Linked DNA regions of Saccharomyces cerevisiae S288C. The gene in region 3 interacts genetically with the main gene of each other region. Each region holds a gene or a part of one and is shown on either strand. Other genes may lie near its edges.

Region 1 (3,146 bases), on a different chromosome or scaffold from region 3:
AAAAATGAATGAATGAATAAAAAATAAACGAAGTTTAAGGAATGAATACACTGGAAATTGTGTGGTCGTACTTTTTTTTTTTTCTTCTTAGTTACCGATGAAAGGAGCGTAAATTGCGGTTTAAAATCTTTGCTGAGCTTTGATCTGGGAGACGCCGAGGTCTCGAGAAGGAAACACATTAGATGGTATTCACTTATATACCCGAATCAGGAGAAACAAAGGCGAAAAAAAGGAAAAATTTTGTTTTGTCTGCTTTTTTCTTTTTCCGCACGACCCGGGCCGGGCCGTGCAGAAAGACCTACTTGCCCAAAAGCGGCAAAACGTCAACACCACCTCTACATTTCTTTTTATGGACTCATTAGGTTTCCCGATCTGGAAAAGAAAGGGCTTTTCCAGTGCCGCGGCCTCGAGATCCAGGCACCAGGAACTAGGCACGCTGTGTATTCTAACACATTGAAGGGCCTAGGCCCGCTGACGTGGGGTCTAGTTCCACTTTTTCATTACCTTTTCTCGGTCTTTTCTTGCTCCCACAGGCCGTTAATGGCCTGAAACAGTTTTGTGACTTTGGACTTATGATAACGATGTTTGTCCGGGTGCCACCGGATTCTATCGCGGCGAATCAAGTCTAGTCTGTTTGCATCCATCAAGGCACTGCTCATTGTGTAAAATTGTTCTACGCTTTTGTCATCAATCATATCTAAACTCACAGCCGCTAGGGTAGGTGTGCCTGGCAGTGGTAAGGTAGCCGGCTCGTCTTTGGTCATGCGCCAATACTGTCGAACGGCCCGCGCGTAGCGTTCTTCGGCTTCAACCTTAGAGCTGATACCTTTTGCCTGGTCAAAGGCGAAAACGTCTACCTCGCTTTCACTGCTGCTTTCGCTTTCATGACTTCGTTTCAAGCGGTCTCTTTCGCTCTCGGTTGTAACACACTTGTAGCCTGCTATGCTTTCACCGTACTCGAAAAGCGTAGCCTCATGACTAGTTGTACCAACGCCCTTTCTTTTCTTTTTTTTCTCTTGACACTTCGGCGTATTCATCGCCACTGGTACAAGCCGTATGGTGCTTTTTTGCTCATTTTCGTTTTGACGTTGCGATGGTTTCGCGGACCAATCGCATGGGTGGTGGTGGATGTTGTCTTTGCTAGTTGCAACGTAGTCTTCTTCTCTCCTGCGCTTTCTGACGAAAATTGGCCTTACGTATCTTTTTTCGGCGTCGTTGTCGTCATCGCTGTTCATATAATCGTCGTCACTCATATCGGCGCTTTTACTGCATGCTGTCTTTTGAAGAGAGTTTCATTGAAAAGTAGTGAAGAAAAAAAAAAAAAAAAAAAAAAAAAAAAGGAAAAAAGCTTACATACGGAAAGAGAAAAAAAAAAAAAGAAATTTTAAAATGGACGAGTCCGGAATCGAACCGGAGACCTCTCCCATGCTAAGGGAGCGCGCTACCGACTACGCCACACGCCCATAGTAGATATATTTTCTGATGTCCTAGGAATTGGATCATATATTTTTACAAGAATGTGATGTATCAAACAAGCTTGGAGTGGAGTATTCATGATATAATTACCGTTCTCAACCCGCTAAGTCCCAAATACTATCTTTGTGTTGGCTGTTCAATCTCCGGAATTTGTGCATTTGCAATCAATGACAGGGCTTATATCAAGATCTGTTGGAATAAAAATCCACTATCGTCTATCAACTAATAGTTATATTATCAATATATTATCATATACGGTGTTAAGATGATGACATAAGTTATGAGAAGCTGTCATCGAAGTTAGAGGAAGCTGAAGTGCAAGGATTGATAATGTAATAGGATAATGAAACATATAAAACGGAATGAGGAATAATCGTAATATTAGTATGTAGAAATATAGATTCCATTTTGAGGATTCCTATATCCTTGAGGAGAACTTCTAGTATATTCTGTATACCTAATATTATAGCCTTTATCAACAATGGAATCCCAACAATTATCTCAACATTCCCCCATTTCTCAAGATCATAAGAGGGGATTTCCTTATGAGGAAAAGAGCGGAGCCGCAGTGAAAGTTAATAACGATTTAACTTTTTTTGTCTCAATTACGTTTTAAATGTCATTTATAGTAGGAAAATGTTTAACAAGCAGTGAAACTGCAAAGTTTAGTTATCGGAGTGGCGGAAAAAAAAAGGAACTCCGAATCCCCAAAGTTCAATAAGGAAATGGGGAGTAAGGAGGCTGAATTAGTTTGAAACAAAACTGCTACCAGCGGATTTAATCGGAATCAATTAAAATATCAAACAAAATGCGGGGAAATCATATTGATTGATTGAAGCTCACACAGATTAGTTTTCATCTCGCTGTCTACTAAAAGATTTATTTTTACATTTCCTAGAAAAACATAAATAAAATAACAAAAAGTAAAAAAATAGAAATACCTTACTTTCTTTCATAGTATAATTTATCTTATTAGTGCACGGAAATATACAATTTTTGACTATAAACATTTCCCTTTTTTCTTTAGATTAATGACGAGAAAATAAATATATTTATTATGATTATCTAAAAAATAAAGTCTTTTTTTGTCGTTGTTCGATTCATTAACACCAGAAATTCCAGATTCTATACCATCTTGGCTTTGTGGCCATAATTGCCTTTTCTTCTGCAATTTCTTGTTTCAACAAATCTAAATCGACTTCTCTTCTACCCGTATCAATGTCCATCTTTTCTGCTGGGATGAAAAGCTTCCAATTCCTCTTATAGATCTTGTGTCCGATGTACATAACCATAACAAGTGGGAAGGATAGATAAGCTTCGAAGAAACCTTCCGCACTTGGAGAATCTCCCACGGGGAATACAGCAACGTAGAATTGGGCAATGAACATAATAATAACCATAAATAACCCCCAGTAGGAACCCCAAACACCGGTAGGAGACTTGAAAGACAATTCATCCAAGCCTCTTCCTTGGGCGGCCAATGCCTTTCTGAAACGAATGTGACAAATACAGATACCACCCCATGTGAATAGAGATGACAACCCAGACAAGGCTAGTAACCAGTTGAAAACTTCACCTTCCTTTTTGGAGGCGGCAACAAACGCAATAAGACCGAATGCAGATGTGACAGCAATTCCCACCAATGGTCTACCCTTACGGTCAACGTAGGA
Region 2 (6,068 bases), on a different chromosome or scaffold from region 3:
TAATTAAGAGTTATAATGTTTTTGCAAAACAAAATGAGTATTATATTACATTGAGTTCCTTCCCAAGCATCGGGTTGTTTATTTCTAGATATACGCCAACTAATACATTTCTAACTTCCCACCTTCATTACATCATAACCTGAAAGTGAACAACCTCCTCTTCGGTGATCCGTACTCCAGTTTATTTCATTTTTCTGTAAAGCAACTACACTATATTTATTCTCTATTTATTTTATATACCTATTGTATTTTAATTAATCGTTATTTTGTCCGCACCTTCTTCGTAATCGAATTTACCTTGTAAACGAGTCGTCATGATAAGCATTTGCTGCATTACTGAACGTTTATCTTAGCATGACATTAAAGTCCGTTTGTCTAAAATATCACCCAATTATTTCCGCGGTGTGAGCGCCAGATAAGGTGCTTCGGGTAATATGAGAACGCCGTTTCTTGATAGCATTTTTCAATGACTAGATAGGTAGATTACCTCTGTATCACACTTCTCGTACCAAACGAAACTCATATAAATAATGCTTTCCTTCTGGTGCCTTCTACTTTCCGCTGATCTCTATTTTCAAATTAACCGCTGAAATATAAACTGTGGAATACTATAACATAACATAGATTTAAGAATAAGGTATTCATGATCTCTGAAAAGGCTGCTACCGCTTTAGCTACTATAGCAACAGTTTGCTGGTGTGTCCAGCTAATTCCGCAAATAATATATAATTGGAAAAAAAAGGACTGTACGGGGCTGCCACCACTGATGATGTTCCTCTGGGTTGTTTCCGGAATTCCATTTGCCATATATTTCTGTGTTAGTAAAGGTAATGTCATTTTACAAGTTCAACCACACCTTTTTATGTTCTTCTGTTCTATAAGTTTCGTCCAATCGTGTTATTATCCACCAATCAGTATGGCGAGATCCAAAATAGTAATGATTGTAGCTGCTATTATTGCGGCTGATGTTGGCATGGAAGTTGGCTTTATATTATGGCTGAGGCCCCTTTACGAGAAGGGTGTTAAATGGCCCGATCTGATTTTTGGTATTTCTGCATCTGTTTTGTTAGCTGTCGGACTGCTTCCACCTTACTTTGAACTAGCCAAAAGGAAAGGTCGTGTTATTGGCATCAACTTTGCCTTCTTATTCATCGATTCATTAGGTGCTTGGCTATCTATCATCAGTGTTATCCTAGGTAATATGGATATTATGGGTATTATATTATACTCAATAGTTGCTGGAATGGAGTTAGGAATTTTCGCGTCTCATTTCATATGGTGGTGTAGGTTTAGATTCCTAGCTAAAGGCAATACTTTTGACGAAGAAAGTGGCCAAGCTCAAAAGGAAGAACCCGATGAAAAAATCGAACAAGATATTAGCAAGAGTGACCGAAATGTTACTAACTATAACCTGGATAACTGTTCAATCCCCGACGATGCTTCGAGCTTTGCAGACGATTTTAATATATACGATAGTACTGATGGGGGGACGTTATCAAGAGCCCAAACATTGCATGCTGTCCATGGAGTTGTGGTTAGAACAGATCCTGATCGTTATTCGAGGCTAAGTGTGTAACGAATCTGAGTCCTTTTTAGTTAGCACGTTTTCATCTCTTTTTGATAGCACGCTTAATAATATTCACCACTAGCGCAGTAATATGGCATCTGCCGCAGGTGTAAAGGTTTTCACTTCGCTTATATTCACAATACTATGCGTTCAAACACGGCCATCAGAAAAGATCAAAATAAGGATTATTAATTAAAAACTTAAACAGAAATTCAGTTTGCAACACCCTTCGCAATGGCGAAGTTTCCAAAAACAAAATCTCCAAACAAGATTAACATTCTTCTTATGTAACCACATGATATGCATATTTTATATAGACTGTACACATGAAAAACTTTTATCGTCCAAAATAATTAAAAGAAAATTTCAATCATACCATAGCACACTGTTCCAGTAACTGAGAAAAACATTGTGAAGCAACCAACATAATGCCAGATTGGCGCCAAAGTGAACCGACTAAATAACAACAACAGGCACGCACAGATCAAAATAAGGGAAACCAGTAAGGAAATGATAATAATGGCTATGAGAATATTTTGAATTTCTAAATCTATCTCATTATTACTTTGCCCGCGAAACAAGGATAAAACGATTCCCAGACATACACTTGCCATAATGCAAGATGTTAGCAGTGCAGACAAGTATAAAAATGTAACAACTTCGTCATGCCTATATTCGTAGATAGATTGTGAGTCCTCTATGTCTTGCTGTTGATACTGTAAGTACCTTTGAACGTCATCATATGACGCTGAAGTTGATTGTGAACCAAATGACGCAACAGAACCATAGTTAGTTGATGAACAATGCGGATGCTTAGAGTTTTGAAACAAATCTGGCGATGTTTTCTTGTCATGGCGAATCAAGTTTCGTAACTTCTCACAAAAATCATATGTGCGGTTGATGAAATTCCGGCTAAACAAAATAAACCCATAATCAGGCGGAGAATTTCTCAAAAGTAAGGATTCTTCGTTATCTGTTGTACTCCTGCTTCCATTAGTATCAATGTAAAAAGCATTGTCTAAATTATCCTCTTCTTGTTCATCAAATTCATTCCAATACCTAATAGGTTTCTTTTTAGTTTCATTATCCGATTGCTTTGATTTTTTGTGAATTCGAACTCTTCTGCCGCTGTCAACACTACCTTGTGAGTTGTTTATCGGCCCAGTCAGGTCAAACTCTTCCTCTAGACGATCCTTGCCCAGCTGGAAAAATTCATCAGGTGATAGCGAATCATCGGAATTTAATTTATATTGATCTCTTAGTAAAAGTTGAAATAAATCATTTTGCAATTCATTTGAGTGTACTAATTCTAAACATATTTTCCATGTGGTTAAGTCTGGTGGTATTAAGCTGCATTGAAACTCATTTGTAACAACTGATTTCATTAACTGTTTAAACTTATTGTCTTCATTAATAGCCGTCTGTGAAAGACCACTGGATCGACTAAGCTTTTTAATTTCTAAAATTGGAAAGGGTAATGTAGATACATTTCCAATAGTGATAGATTCATCCAAAGCTATCAAGTATATATCTCCATTGTCTGCTGATATGAATCTTGTTCTTTTAAAATCTAGCTTTGGTTCAATGGTTTTTAATCGATGGGACTGAATCCACTCCAAAGCGATCTTACTGATTGGCGATGGATCCAGTGAGTTTATGAGAGCGCTAATATTTTTTGTGTCGTTGCCACTCCTCATGGCCGAAAGAATATTCTTTACATCCCTTAGAAGCAGATCATTTGTGACAACATGATTTCTTAAGCCGCCCACGTGGCACATTACTATACAAGTATCCTCAGCAGTAGAGCTGACTATCATGTTTGGGTGCTGATTTATATTATCATCAGTAAGTAGTAAAGGACTGCCTTCGTTCCCGACAGTATCTAGTATACTAATAGAAACGTACTTCTCATTGGATTGTACAGCAGAGGGTAATATGTTCTTCTGTTTAGATAGGGATAAGGTATGTTGTAAGTCATTGAATGACTTTGCTGATCTTATAGATTTGTTGCCCGCAGAATTAATATTATCTGTAGTGTCTAAAATCTCCTTTGAAGTGGATATGATGCTATCGTCAATTATCCTAAAACCAATATTCAATAGCATGAACTTCAGTCCCTCTATGTCCTCGGACGATAATAAAAACCTTCCTAGATTCTCTGCTTTATCTATGAGGGCAGTATCGAATTCTAGCGAAGAATCAATCATTTTTGAAGTTTTCTTGTTTGAAAGTAGCGGAATTGACCTTGGAGATGCTGGCAAGGAAGAATTGTTGGCTTCTGGACTTGAACTTGTATGGGCAGATTCATCGGAGCGGTTTAGGGATCTTTGCTCCACTGCTGGCTCAGTTGCATCTTCAAGTTTATTTTCCAAATCATGTAAAACATCAACAATTAGCGAAACTTCTAAAAGATATGGATCTAAATCAAGCTTCATAAATGATATGCCTTCGTGTCCATTTCGTAAACTTTCAGAGTTTCTGATCGACGTAACATACTCACTTGCAGTCAATGGATTTTCACTGTCTTGAGGAAATTCATTTAGTAATTTTTTGAATAACTTTCTCAAGGCAATCCTTTGTATTATCAAAAACCTTGACAGTAGTTGTAGTTCAAAGTTACAATCGTCTACATGAGCGTTGATGATTTTCAGTTTACGAAGGTTGAAACGGTTTCTGGAAGTTTTGTTTAAGCCCTTTGAAAAATCGATTATTGATGATTCCACAGAAAGAATACGAGTGGAAATTTCCTTTATTTTCAAAGAAACAAATAAATTAACATTTTGAAATTCCTGGTCAAAGGCTACTGAACATTGATTCAACAACTTCTCCATGCCCGAATCATTTGGATTGTCATAATCATAAGCCGTTACTTTTTTTATGGCTACTTTTAACTTCTCATAGTTAATATTGTAGAATTTCCATTCAGGGATTGATTTATTCAATATGCGATCTTCAAATTTCATGATTGTACAACCCTTCGTATCTATCCTTACCTAGGGCTGAGATGGAGATATACAAAAAAAAAGCAAAGGTAAAAAGCAAGTATTAAACTCTATCTCTATTATATTCAAGAGGGCAACGGACGAACTATTAATTTATGAATTTTAAAAGTCCTTTGATAGCGTTCACGATAGGGCTTTTTGATCTTGCCTTTGTTTATCTTTTTATCTGTTTTGTTTTTTTTTTTTTTTTTTTCTTGGTTCAGTTTTGACTCTTCCACACACCCATTTCGCTAGCGTAGAACAAGGGGAGACACAAACTTTCTTTTCCTTGCAAGTTAATAACACAACACCCGTCCTCCTGCACTGAATTTACACAGAAGTTAAGAACCGCCTCTGCTTTTCTGGTATTATTTTGCAGCCTTGCCTAAAAAAAGTGTGGTAATTTTTGAGAATAATATATTACTGTGTTTTTCGAAACGAAAGTTCTGAATATTGGCTTGGTCGCTTCCTGATATCTGGAAACTTGTTTAATGTTTTTAATTATCAGTCTTCAAAGCGTCCTGATATGACTTGCCACGTTTCCATCCATTCTATATGTAGTTTAAATACAATGAGATAAAGGGTGCCTGCATGGAACTTTCCATTCGAAAAAAGAGATCATAAACCTTATCTGTCAAATAAAAGCCAATCTATTTGATTAGGTAAAAAAAGTGATGTCAGACCAAAGTGCCCCTCTCCTGCAATGATCATCGATTACGTACGGGTGTAATGATCACGACAGTAAAGTGAGCAAGGTAACTACTATCCCTAAGTGCGGCGTCATTGTAAGTCTACGACGTAGCATATTCAGTTTACTGTACAAGAAAAGTTTTCTCTCTGTAACAAGAGGAAATTGGTTAGCTTTCTACGCTTACTTCGTTTGGTACGATCAGTAAAGGTGAATAAATTAAGATCCACGCCTTCATATGGCAGGATCCACGATATTCCTTGCAATACCCCTGGATAATTCAAAAACCAAATGTTACACGGTATACTTGAAAATCGATACCATATTAGGAACACACCGGCCAAAGGTTGATAATACTTGGTATGAGATAAAACCCGAGCTCAAGGTTTAATGTTAAAATTTTTTGTATATATATATATATAGTAATGGGCTCGGTTGCAAATTTTTATGACTATCTTGAAACTAGTTGAAATTGCAAGAACCGTCACTCTATGGAGTACATGAACAACTAAAAAATAGCTTGAAGATACTTGCCACTCCATGCCATTTCTAGAAAGGGGTCTCTTGAGAAATGTGTGTTAAAATAACGGTTATATAGTTGGAAAGAATATTACTATTTTGCGATTAAGGGATGCCGTATGGCAGGCAAGGAAGTATTTGATCAAGAATACCGATTAATGAAGCATGTTTGCCATTATCGTTGAACCTTGGTATTTCTCAGGTTTCCTTATCGATACGATAGGAATGAGAATCAACTAACATTTATCGACTACAATTCATTATTACTACTATATTATCAAATGCTCTGCAAGGAGATGACCAAAAAGAAATG
Region 3 (5,044 bases):
AGTAGTTTCAATAATATATTCCACTACTTATATGTGTTACCCGCATTAGAACTCTTATTGGTGGCGAAAATCGATGGCAATAAAGAACGGAAGGGGTTTAATAGTTGTATGCTTAACATATTTCGATTTAAATATATAAGAAACGTCGGTAGCACAACAATTAACTCATTATTTAGGTATGGCGGAAATACCTGATGAAACCATCCAGCAGTTCATGGCATTGACCAATGTGTCGCATAACATAGCCGTTCAATATCTCTCTGAATTTGGAGATTTAAATGAAGCACTAAATTCCTATTATGCTTCTCAAACGGATGACCAAAAGGATAGAAGAGAGGAAGCACATTGGAACAGACAGCAGGAGAAGGCCCTCAAGCAAGAAGCCTTCTCCACCAACTCTTCGAATAAAGCCATAAATACGGAGCACGTTGGTGGGTTATGTCCAAAACCAGGATCCTCACAAGGTAGCAACGAGTACTTGAAAAGGAAAGGTTCTACCTCTCCTGAACCAACCAAGGGTAGTAGCCGCTCTGGAAGTGGTAACAACTCCAGGTTTATGAGCTTTTCGGATATGGTAAGAGGTCAAGCTGATGATGACGATGAAGATCAACCGAGAAATACTTTTGCTGGTGGTGAAACATCCGGCTTAGAGGTTACAGATCCTTCAGATCCTAATTCATTACTGAAGGATTTGCTGGAAAAAGCGAGAAGGGGTGGTCAAATGGGCGCTGAAAACGGATTCCGTGATGACGAAGACCATGAAATGGGTGCCAATAGGTTTACTGGAAGAGGTTTTAGATTAGGGTCAACCATCGACGCAGCAGATGAAGTCGTAGAAGACAACACTTCACAATCACAACGTAGACCAGAAAAAGTCACAAGAGAAATTACATTTTGGAAGGAAGGTTTTCAAGTGGCCGATGGTCCGCTTTATCGCTATGATGATCCTGCGAACAGTTTCTATTTGAGCGAGTTAAATCAAGGGAGGGCTCCATTAAAGCTCTTAGATGTGCAATTTGGACAAGAAGTTGAAGTTAATGTATATAAAAAATTAGATGAGTCTTATAAAGCTCCGACGAGAAAACTGGGCGGTTTTTCAGGCCAGGGCCAAAGACTAGGATCTCCTATCCCGGGTGAATCGTCACCTGCGGAGGTTCCAAAGAATGAGACACCCGCTGCTCAGGAACAACCCATGCCGGACAATGAGCCAAAACAAGGCGACACCTCCATCCAAATTAGATACGCAAATGGCAAAAGAGAAGTTTTGCACTGCAATTCCACAGATACAGTAAAGTTTTTGTATGAGCATGTGACATCAAATGCGAACACTGACCCATCGAGGAATTTCACCTTGAATTATGCCTTTCCTATCAAACCAATAAGCAACGATGAGACAACATTGAAGGACGCTGATCTGCTGAACTCCGTTGTCGTGCAAAGATGGGCATGAGCATAAATATACAAAAACAGAAACGGGAAAAGACTTCAACTTAATATATAAATGCACGTATATCTATACCCGTAGTATATATCATTTGTACCTCAATACAATTTCAAATCACCTGTTATTTGATCCAATACTGCTTTTGGAGCAGGTCCTAAACCCAATACGGTGGCACTTCCCGCAGCAATCTGTGTTCTACCAGCATCATGAATAACTGCTGCATTCACCCCAAGTGATATAGCCTTCGCATACAACTCGTCCATTGTAAACTTATCTGGACATTTCAACGTTATTTTAGCCTGTCCAGCATTTAGCCATCTTTGTGTCATAATTGGGTTGTATGAAGCACGCGCGGGGTTTGTAGCAATATGTCTAAAACATGACAATGCTGCGTGACAGCATTGTGCCGCTATTTTGCCCTTTGTCATGCCAAGATCTTGACGAATCACCAATGCCATCCTAACTTCTCCAGGTATATCATTCAATGAAGTGGACTCAATATCTTCGTCCTCATCGCTCTCATCTTCGCTTTCACTTTCCTCCTCATCAGTGTCATTGTGTAGCTTTCCTTCCTTCATTTCTTTAGAACGCAGTAAAGTAGCTGAGGATTTCTTAGTTGATGATGCGTTCGACGTACCCAACTGGTAACCCACGGCAAAGGAGATTGCGGTGAAAGTAGCCCATAAAGCTATGGTGTAATTCGAAGAAACTGTCATCTTTTCCATTAAAAAGACGTTATCATGTTACTCCGCTGTCAACAAGTAATATAGCAAGAAACAATTAGCTCTTATGCTTAAGAGCTTCTAGAAGAGTAGTAATAACCTTTAAACATTATTTTCGTCAGGCGTGATATCAGCGAGTTGAAGAAAAAACAACATGGGTTGTCCCTCAAGAGAATAAACTCAAAGGAGTAAAAGGTGTTTAGAGCTTGTTGGCTCGATTGTTGCCACCGGAAGGCCCCTTTCTGTTTTTAGACTATATTCATTTTACTTTTTGAAGTTTCTATTATAGGCAGACGAAGAAGGCCAAGAAGACAAATCGAAGAAAGAGAGAGATAACATGGGTCAAATATTGTCCAATCCAATTATCGACAAAGAGCATCATTCTGGTACGGACTGTTTGACAGCGTTTGGACTATGTGCCATGCAAGGCTGGCGTATGTCCATGGAAGATGCCCATATTGTTGAGCCGAACCTTTTGGCTGAGTCTGACGAGGAACATCTCGCATTTTATGGTATATTTGACGGTCATGGTGGTTCTTCTGTAGCGGAGTTTTGTGGCTCTAAAATGATATCTATACTGAAAAAACAGGAGAGCTTCAAGAGCGGTATGTTAGAGCAGTGCTTAATAGATACCTTTTTAGCTACAGATGTTGAGTTGTTGAAAGATGAAAAATTAAAAGATGACCATAGTGGTTGTACAGCAACTGTGATATTGGTATCTCAATTGAAAAAGCTACTAATTTGCGCCAATTCCGGTGATAGTAGAACAGTTCTATCTACTGGTGGTAATAGTAAAGCAATGTCATTTGATCATAAGCCCACATTGTTAAGTGAAAAATCTCGTATTGTAGCTGCTGATGGTTTTGTTGAGATGGACCGTGTTAATGGAAATTTAGCGTTATCAAGAGCCATAGGTGATTTTGAATTCAAATCTAACACAAAATTGGGACCTCATGAGCAAGTCGTTACATGTGTTCCTGATATCATTTGTCACAATTTGAATTATGATGAGGATGAATTTGTTATTTTAGCATGTGATGGTATTTGGGATTGTTTAACTTCTCAAGAGTGTGTTGACTTGGTTCACTACGGTATAAGTCAAGGTAATATGACGTTGAGCGACATTTCATCTAGAATCGTAGATGTTTGTTGTTCACCCACAACTGAAGGCTCAGGAATTGGCTGTGATAATATGAGTATTTCCATTGTTGCTTTACTAAAGGAAAATGAATCTGAGTCACAATGGTTTGAGCGTATGAGATCAAAAAATTACAATATCCAAACGTCTTTTGTCCAAAGAAGGAAAAGTATTTTTGATTTCCATGATTTTTCGGATGATGATAACGAAGTGTTCGCAATAACCACCAAAAAATTACAAGACCGCTTGAATCGTAGTAAAGATAATGACGACATGGAAATTGATGATCTTGATACCGAATTAGGCAGCAGTGCTACTCCCTCAAAGTTATCAGGTGAGGATAGAACTGGCCCTATTGACTTGTTTTCGTTGGAGGCTCTATTAGAAGCCGGGATTCAAATAAGGCAGAGGCCCAGCTCCGACAGTGACGGCAACACTTCTTATTTCCATGGTGCTTCTTTATCAGATATGTTGGCATCTTTAAGCAATGCGGCTGCAGGAGAAACAGAACCTAATGATGCTGATGATAACGATGATAACGACGGCGAAGAAAACGGCAAGAATGAAAATGCGAAGAAGGGTTCCAAGATTGAAGAAATTGAATAATAAATATTGTCGAACCGTACTTTGCAACGAAAGAGTAGTCAAACTTTGTTATCTTTATTTGTTATTCCTCTTCTGCCGATGGATTGTTTTTTACTGGATCATCTTTGCGGCCCATATTGAGGAGATGGTGAAATTCATAAAAATCATTACGAGAGAATGATAAATTGTAACAGAATTTATAAATCCTATTCATATAGATACATCTGTTTTTCCTTACTCTGTTTTTATTTTGTTGGTAACCTTTGAATCCTTTTTGATGAAAAAAATAGAAAAAAAAAAAAAAAAAAAATGAAAGCAATATCGACTGTATGTATATGCGCACCATAATTTTCCTATTAATAGTTTAAGCATAATTAGTGTACTTACTAAAAATAATGTAACTTTGCTCTTTGCACCAATAGATGTTACTCTCCAAATATCTTACAGGTCGTCTTCCACGTGGTATCTATCAAAGTAGCCAGATCCACGTCCTTGACTTCCGATACGACAATTGCTACTTGTTCCATATTACAAGGCTCATTACGGCCCTTGACCATGTAAAGTTCTTCTGCATTCAACTTGTCAGCGAGCTTATTTTTCTTAACGGACTTGAATGCAGGGTATTCGAAATCCCTAACCTCCTGGTATTTGGCTAAGTACTGGAAAGATGCATGCGTTCTTTTAATCTCACACCACGGAGCATCTGTCTCTAATAACAACCTTTCTGTTGGTATTTGCTTTACAACAGCTAGATTTTCCTCGGTTCTCAACGAGCAACCGTTTACTCCTATGAAGATGTTGGGTGATAAGTTCAGTAATTTCTGCAAATCTATCGCAGAACCAGTGAATGAATGGACCACTAGTTTTCTATCTGGATGAAATTTGTAAAACCCGCTAGACGACGATGCACCTAACTTTTGTAGCTGAAAGGTATCCCTCTCATCAGTGAACCCGGCAATAAATCTTTCCAATATTTGAACAAAATCGTCACATGCGCTTCTCATATGCAGAAACAATGGATAGCTGCTGAGTTTATCGTTCAAACAACTTATTTTCAGTTGCTCTTCAAAAAAAACCTTTTGCATCTCTTTAGAACTATAGTGAAATCTGTCGTAGTCCAACCCGATCTCACCAATTGACCTGAAACTTGTATCA
Region 4 (6,288 bases), on a different chromosome or scaffold from region 3:
CCGAACGTGCGCAAGAAAACACTTTGAACTCTGCGAAAAATCCTGTGTTAGTGGATATCAAGAAAGAAGCTGGGAGCAATAGCTCTAATGCTATTTCATTAGATGACGACGATGACGACGAAGATTTTGGTAGCTCTCCTTCAAAAAAAGTAAGGCCTGGCTCTATTGCTGCAGCCGCTTTACAAGCAAATCAAACAGATATTTCCAAGAGTCACGATTCTTCAAAGTTGCTTTGGGCGACTGAATACATTCAAAAGAAAGGTAAGCCCGTTTTGGTGAATGAGTTATTGGACTACTTGTCAATGAAAAAAGATGACAAGGTTATTGAGCTTTTAAAAAAATTAGATAGAATAGAGTTTGACCCCAAGAAGGGGACTTTCAAATACCTTTCCACCTACGATGTCCATTCCCCTTCGGAACTGCTGAAGTTGTTACGTTCACAAGTAACATTCAAAGGTATTTCCTGCAAAGACTTGAAAGACGGTTGGCCACAATGCGATGAAACGATTAACCAACTGGAGGAAGACAGCAAAATTTTGGTGTTAAGAACTAAAAAGGATAAAACTCCAAGATACGTTTGGTATAACAGCGGTGGTAACTTGAAATGTATTGACGAGGAGTTTGTTAAAATGTGGGAAAATGTGCAATTACCGCAATTTGCAGAATTGCCAAGAAAGCTGCAAGATTTAGGTCTAAAGCCTGCTAGTGTCGATCCTGCTACTATCAAAAGACAAACAAAGAGAGTTGAAGTTAAAAAGAAGAGACAAAGAAAGGGTAAGATTACTAACACTCATATGACCGGTATCTTGAAAGATTATTCCCATAGAGTATGAGGTTGTTTTGATTAAATCATTTTCGTTTGCATATTAGGTTAAAGAGACTGTGATTATATATACATGCACGTTAGGGTGCAGCATACAACTCAGCTTTATAGTCTACAACGTATTTATAACGAGCATTGGAAACAGGTTACAGGACACCAAAGGGTTTGGGTTTCCAATTTTGAACCCTTGACCAATTTTTTACTGGTGTAGCTCTGTTCTCCTCTTGTTTATTTTTTTTACCTACTGTTCCGAAACTGCTCATTCTCTGTTTCAAAGACGCCAAATCGCCTAGTATATCATTGGTATCAGCCTTTAATGCCGGACTCACTTCCTTCTTCAATGGAACGGAATCTTTTTCCGCAGGAATAAAATCATACAGCTTTATTTCACCTTCATTAAACCTTAATGATAAATTGTCTATGTTTTCCTTCAGTTTTGCCTCGATTTCCACTGTGCTATCAATTTGTTTTCTCCGTTTTTTGTTTCTCCATGAGTTACCAGTAATTTTTTCAGTCTCTAGTTTGGCCAGCATAGATTGGCAAAAATACAATATCAAGTATGACGCATTTTCATCAATAAGTTTCTCCCAATTTTGCCATTTATTTTTAAAATTTTTATTGTTAAGGTTATTTATAATAACATCTAACAGCCTTTTTTGTAGTTCTTTCCAGGCATTGAATTTCCTTTTTAAAATTGTCGTTATATTACTATCATCTTGTTGGGTTCTGTAATTCCTAGCTACCCACTCAATGACCTTCCAATCAAAATTGTTCAAATTAAGCATTAAAACTTTGAGTAAAAGTGGGTCATAATTGTTAAAAAATTTCTCAAGAACCACATTGTGATAAATGGATAATTTCCAAAGTTCTTGCCATTGACGCAAATTTTCCCTGATCATAGTTTCTGATGAACTTGCGTGTGAACTTTTCCTCTTTTCGGCATCATAGTTCACCAAATTATCCCCAGAAAAGTTACTACTTGTAATTAAACTATCGTTTGCATTCTCCCACACCCATTTGTATTCCAGAAACTCGTTTCTAAGTCGCTTCCATTTATCAAGTGTTTTAGTTAATGACTCCATATATTTCTCCAGTTTATCATTTCTTCTGTATCCGTAACCGGTATCATCATCATCGTCATCATCATCCCTGTCATCTTCTAATTCCTCATCGTTCCAGTAGTGATCATATAGCCAAGATAACGCTTCATTGGCGGCCCAACGAAGCATTTCTAATCCAGGTAAATCTCTCTCATGTGTACCCCAGTGTCTCAAATCAACAAACCAGGACGGCAGTCCAATTTTAGCAGCTAATGTGTGTAAGGGAATAGCGAACTGAGATTGTTGCGTTGGATCCAATAAGCCATTGACAAACCGAATCAAAGCCATTACATACGATAACCGGATAGGAATAGAATCCTGATGTACTCCTAAACACGCTTCCTTTTCGTCTAGCAATACCGCACATGTTATTTGTGCTGTAGAGTCCACCACGTGAGGTAAATATTGGGAACCCTTTAGTCGGTAGCTCTGTACTCTTTGCACTGCACGCTGTCGCTTATCTTCAATGGTTCCTTTGCTTTTCGGGTAAAACCAAAGTTTCAGCTCCTCTAGTTCAGCAAAATCCCTCCATGGAACGATTCGTGGTGGTATCATTAGATTGCCCTTTTTTCATTGCTTTCTAGAAATGACTTTTGTTTAAGCTAATTTAGGCATTCTTAGGTATTTTTTTCACTCTTTCTGCGACTGCGATGAGCTTATTAATCTTTCACATTCGGGTAATTTTTTGCATAACAATAAGTCATGAATTTATTGTTGCGATTTTGCAGTGTTATGAGTCTATGAAGAGAAGAAAGAAACTAGAAACCAATTGATACCAGACTTTAGTTGACAACTGATCTCATAATGGGATATGACTCCCAAGTTAGGACAAAAAAACGACATCGAATTACTGTAGTATGCACAAATTGCAAAAAAAGGAAAAGTAAGTGCGATCGAACGAAACCATGTGGAACATGTGTACGACTGGGAGATGTGGACAGCTGTGTCTATCTCACCGATAGCTCTGGACAACCTGAAAGCAGTCCTTCATTGAATGATGCTGACCCTCTGAGGAAACAATCAACTCCTGCGGAACGAATAAGTCCAGGTTTCATTAAGAAAAGAAGATCGTCACAGACAAGACAAGACGAAGATCACTGGCAAAGAGTACGAGAACTTGAAAATCAATCATCACTTTATTATCTACCAATTCATGAAGAAACTCCATTTTTTATTGACCTCATCCCTAATGGGTTTTATTTAGAGACCAAAAGGTCTGCTGATAATTTATTTGGTCTGTTCACGGATAGAGCAATTGAAAATCGCGACCCCTATCTCCAAGCAATGGTAACATTTAGAAGTATCGCAATCAAAAAAATGATGGATAAATTGGGAAGCAACGGCAATAATGTGAAAAATGGAAGCTTGCCTAAATCTTTCGAAGCTTTATCCACTTTCGATGCTGATGACGAACGCCACATTAGCGATGATGTTGTTGGTAAGGGCAATAACTTCCGCATGCATCAGACTATTCACAAATCATTGTTTAACAAATTCGCTCAATACAGAGAAAATAATGCTAAAAAATTCAGCTCAGAAACTATATTAGCAAAGGATTATTTGCCTCCTTTAAAAATACTTGAAAGTGAGGTTTTAGCACTTTTTGAAGAAAAAATTTACAATATGATACCGATTTTCGATATGAAAGTTTTGCGTCATGAAATAACGATATTTTATCAAAATATAGTCGAGAAAGGGAATCCAATTTCTATAAAACACTACGATCATATGGTTTTCTGCATAATCTTGTTGATTATTAAAATATGCCGACTTTCTGTCCAGTTTTCGAAGCTAACTCCATATATATACCCGGTTCTTCAAGAAATTGATACCTCTAAGTTTTTGGCTCTTGTTAAACACTATTTGTTCGAGACGAAGGTCCTCAGAAAATGTAATTTATTACAGTTGCAATGTCTCATATTACTAAGGTTCTTGCACTGGTGTGCCCCTGAAGATGGCGATGGACCCGAAACTCAATATTGTCAAATCTTAATGGGGACAATAATATCATCATGTAAAGAAATGGGCATTAACTGGTATTGCTTCTCTCATCCAGAAAAATATTCATTTAAAATAAACCGACATACGAGGCCTTCATACGATATAATGAAACCTAGCGATTACATTTCAGTTTTCAGAAAGATATGGAGTTATGTTTTATTTTGGGACAGGAAGATGTGTTTTATTAGCGGTGAAGAATGTCAAATTGGGAAAACCTTGCAGTGCCATTTCAAAGAAGAAGCAGATACACCCACATGGTATATACGAATGTTAACCCTGGATAACTTGATGAAAAAGATAAACGATACGTTGAACGATGATCCAGGAAAGGTAGATTTGAACTTGTTGCACCGACTAATAAATGATTTAAAAAGAAACTTTCATATTTTAAAAAGCCTGTCGAAAAACGAAAAAGAAACAATGCGTCATTTTGATTTCGAAATGGAATGGATAATAGATTTATTCTCACTAAGTTTGCTGCACGGAGAAATGATCTTTTATGAATATGACTGCAATATTACAAAATTTTATAAGAGTTTCCAAGATTTGTGGGATATGGTCATTCATATCTCAGAGAAGTGCTACAATTACTTTTTTAACAGTGATGCCTTAGAGGTGGATTCATTGACAAAGTTTTATACCAATAGAATCGTGGAAATTGTCGCAAACAAAGTTTTGGTCATTGTTCCGGCATTCATTCTCAGAGGAGACCGCTTCAAAACAATTCAGTACGCCGACAAGAAGAAAATGATAGAATTTCTTTACGGGGTCTCGTCTGTGTATTTTAACGAATTTGGCTTTGAGTACTATCGTTGTTTTAGAAAAATGTTCACCGCTAAAATTGCCTACAAGATCTTGAATCGCTCATGTGAAAAAGATGCATGGAGAATTATTTTAAAATTTTTGCTGAATGAATTGAAACTAGAAGATAACGGTGATAGTTATATAGATTACAACGATATGAGATTAAATGACATCTGTCCAATAATACTAGAATTTCAGGAGACAGTACAAAAATATGATGGGTATAGGCCAGATATTCTAAGTATATGGAACAATGAGTTTTATCCCATAGGTAAATACAACGATGATATGACAGGATTTAAGTTTCAAATGCGCATAAAGGAAATGCAAGAATTCTTGGATATGGAGAAATATTCCGACAGGTTTAATATTTTTTCATCCTTTTATGATCACGCCAGTTCACAATTAGCTAAACATACTGAAGTTGATACCAACATAAGCATTACGAATGAACAAGTAGCTGAAATTCCGCAAAAAGAACTACTACAACAACCTTTAGCACCCGCTTTGCCTGTTAATGATTTAATTGTCTCAGAGTTTGACGTGATTGAAGATATTTTTGATCCTGTGGATTTCGTATCATTTTTTTAAAGTCAGAGATAAAAGAGACGTATAGGACATATACAATATTCATACCTTTCACTTCCTCCCTATTTCATTCGAATTATTTAGTAGCGTTATATATCGCACTACTTTATTCATATATGTATATATACAGAGTCTGAGAAGAAGGAAAAGATCACACGTTCAATCACAAAAATTCTTTGGCTTTCTTTGCGTAAGCGTGACAATCTCTTAACCATTGCTTATATTCCTTTAAGGAACCTATCTTTTCACCGTAATAATCTGGAACAGGATTACTGAAACTTTGAGAAGAGGCATCGACCCTGTTATTGATGATATGTTTTAGAAACTCTTTATTTTTGTTGTTGAACTGTGCCAATTGTTGGTTATGGGAAAGTTTGAAAACTTGCGAACCAACTATCGGACCCAACAAGTAGCCTAGTGCACCAGAGGCTATTATCCCAGCTGAAATTACAGTTAATGGGTCGAATCCGAATAGCATTTGAGTCGGGTCTATTTCCATTGTGGAAAGGTAAGCCCATGAAACGTTACAGCCCAAAAGAGCAGTAAACAGCGAAGAACCAACATTGATTCTACGCTGCTGTTTCCTCAATTTGAAAAAATCAGACCATGTCAAGATACTGGAGTCTTGAAGGGATGCGGGCTGAGAATATGATCTTAAGGGTAAGGTTGTAGCAGTCGAGCGCAATGCCGCAGCGGTGACAGAAGGTTGACTAGCGAACAGTCTTTGCGATGACAATCTAATGGCACTGGTAAACATTTTGAAGAGGCGGACAATGTTTTCTGAATGTTTTTAACACTTCTTTGAACATAGTTTCCCTTATGATATACCATTGTATGGCTTTCCATTTTTCATAGACGTACCGTACAAACGTATTAGATGATATTCAGAAAAAAGCATAAGCCTAAATAATAATAAATATAATAAATAGATAAATAATACGAAATATAACCAATAAATAATATCTTTCCTCA

The links.
Region 1: mutations in PTC3 (region 3) and YKR041W together harm fitness more than expected from each alone (negative genetic interaction), as found in Saccharomyces cerevisiae (one large-scale study listed by BioGRID).
Region 2: mutations in PTC3 (region 3) and VTC5 together harm fitness more than expected from each alone (negative genetic interaction), as found in Saccharomyces cerevisiae (one large-scale study listed by BioGRID).
Region 4: mutations in PTC3 (region 3) and OAF3 together harm fitness more than expected from each alone (negative genetic interaction), as found in Saccharomyces cerevisiae (one large-scale study listed by BioGRID).

Annotation. Positions count from the first base shown.
Region 1 is NC_001143.9:516,305-519,450, reverse strand, and holds YKR041W (uncharacterized protein), read right to left. Parts: upstream 1,254-3,146; coding exon 501-1,253; downstream 1-500. Other genes in the region: amino acid permease GAP1, read right to left, coding at 2,580-3,146.
Region 2 is NC_001136.10:620,574-626,641, reverse strand, and holds VTC5 (Vtc5p), read right to left. Parts: upstream 4,531-6,068; coding exon 1,921-4,530; downstream 1-1,920. Other genes in the region: ILT1 (Ilt1p), read left to right, coding at 644-1,576. UniProt on the Saccharomyces cerevisiae protein: Regulatory subunit of the vacuolar transporter chaperone (VTC) complex.
Region 3 is NC_001134.8:111,259-116,302, forward strand, and holds PTC3 (type 2C protein phosphatase PTC3), read left to right. Parts: upstream 1-2,503; coding exon 2,504-3,910; downstream 3,911-5,044. Other genes in the region: protein phosphatase regulator SHP1, read left to right, coding at 179-1,450; PTH2 (aminoacyl-tRNA hydrolase), read right to left, coding at 1,543-2,169; YBL055C (3'-5'-exodeoxyribonuclease), read right to left, coding at 4,315-5,044.
Region 4 is NC_001143.9:559,820-566,107, forward strand, and holds OAF3 (Oaf3p), read left to right. Parts: upstream 1-2,727; coding exon 2,728-5,319; downstream 5,320-6,288. Other genes in the region: transcription factor TFIIE subunit TFA2, read left to right, coding at 1-833; rRNA-processing protein LAS1, read right to left, coding at 970-2,478; PAM17 (Pam17p), read right to left, coding at 5,480-6,073. UniProt on the Saccharomyces cerevisiae protein: Transcriptional inhibitor with a significantly increased number of target genes in response to oleate.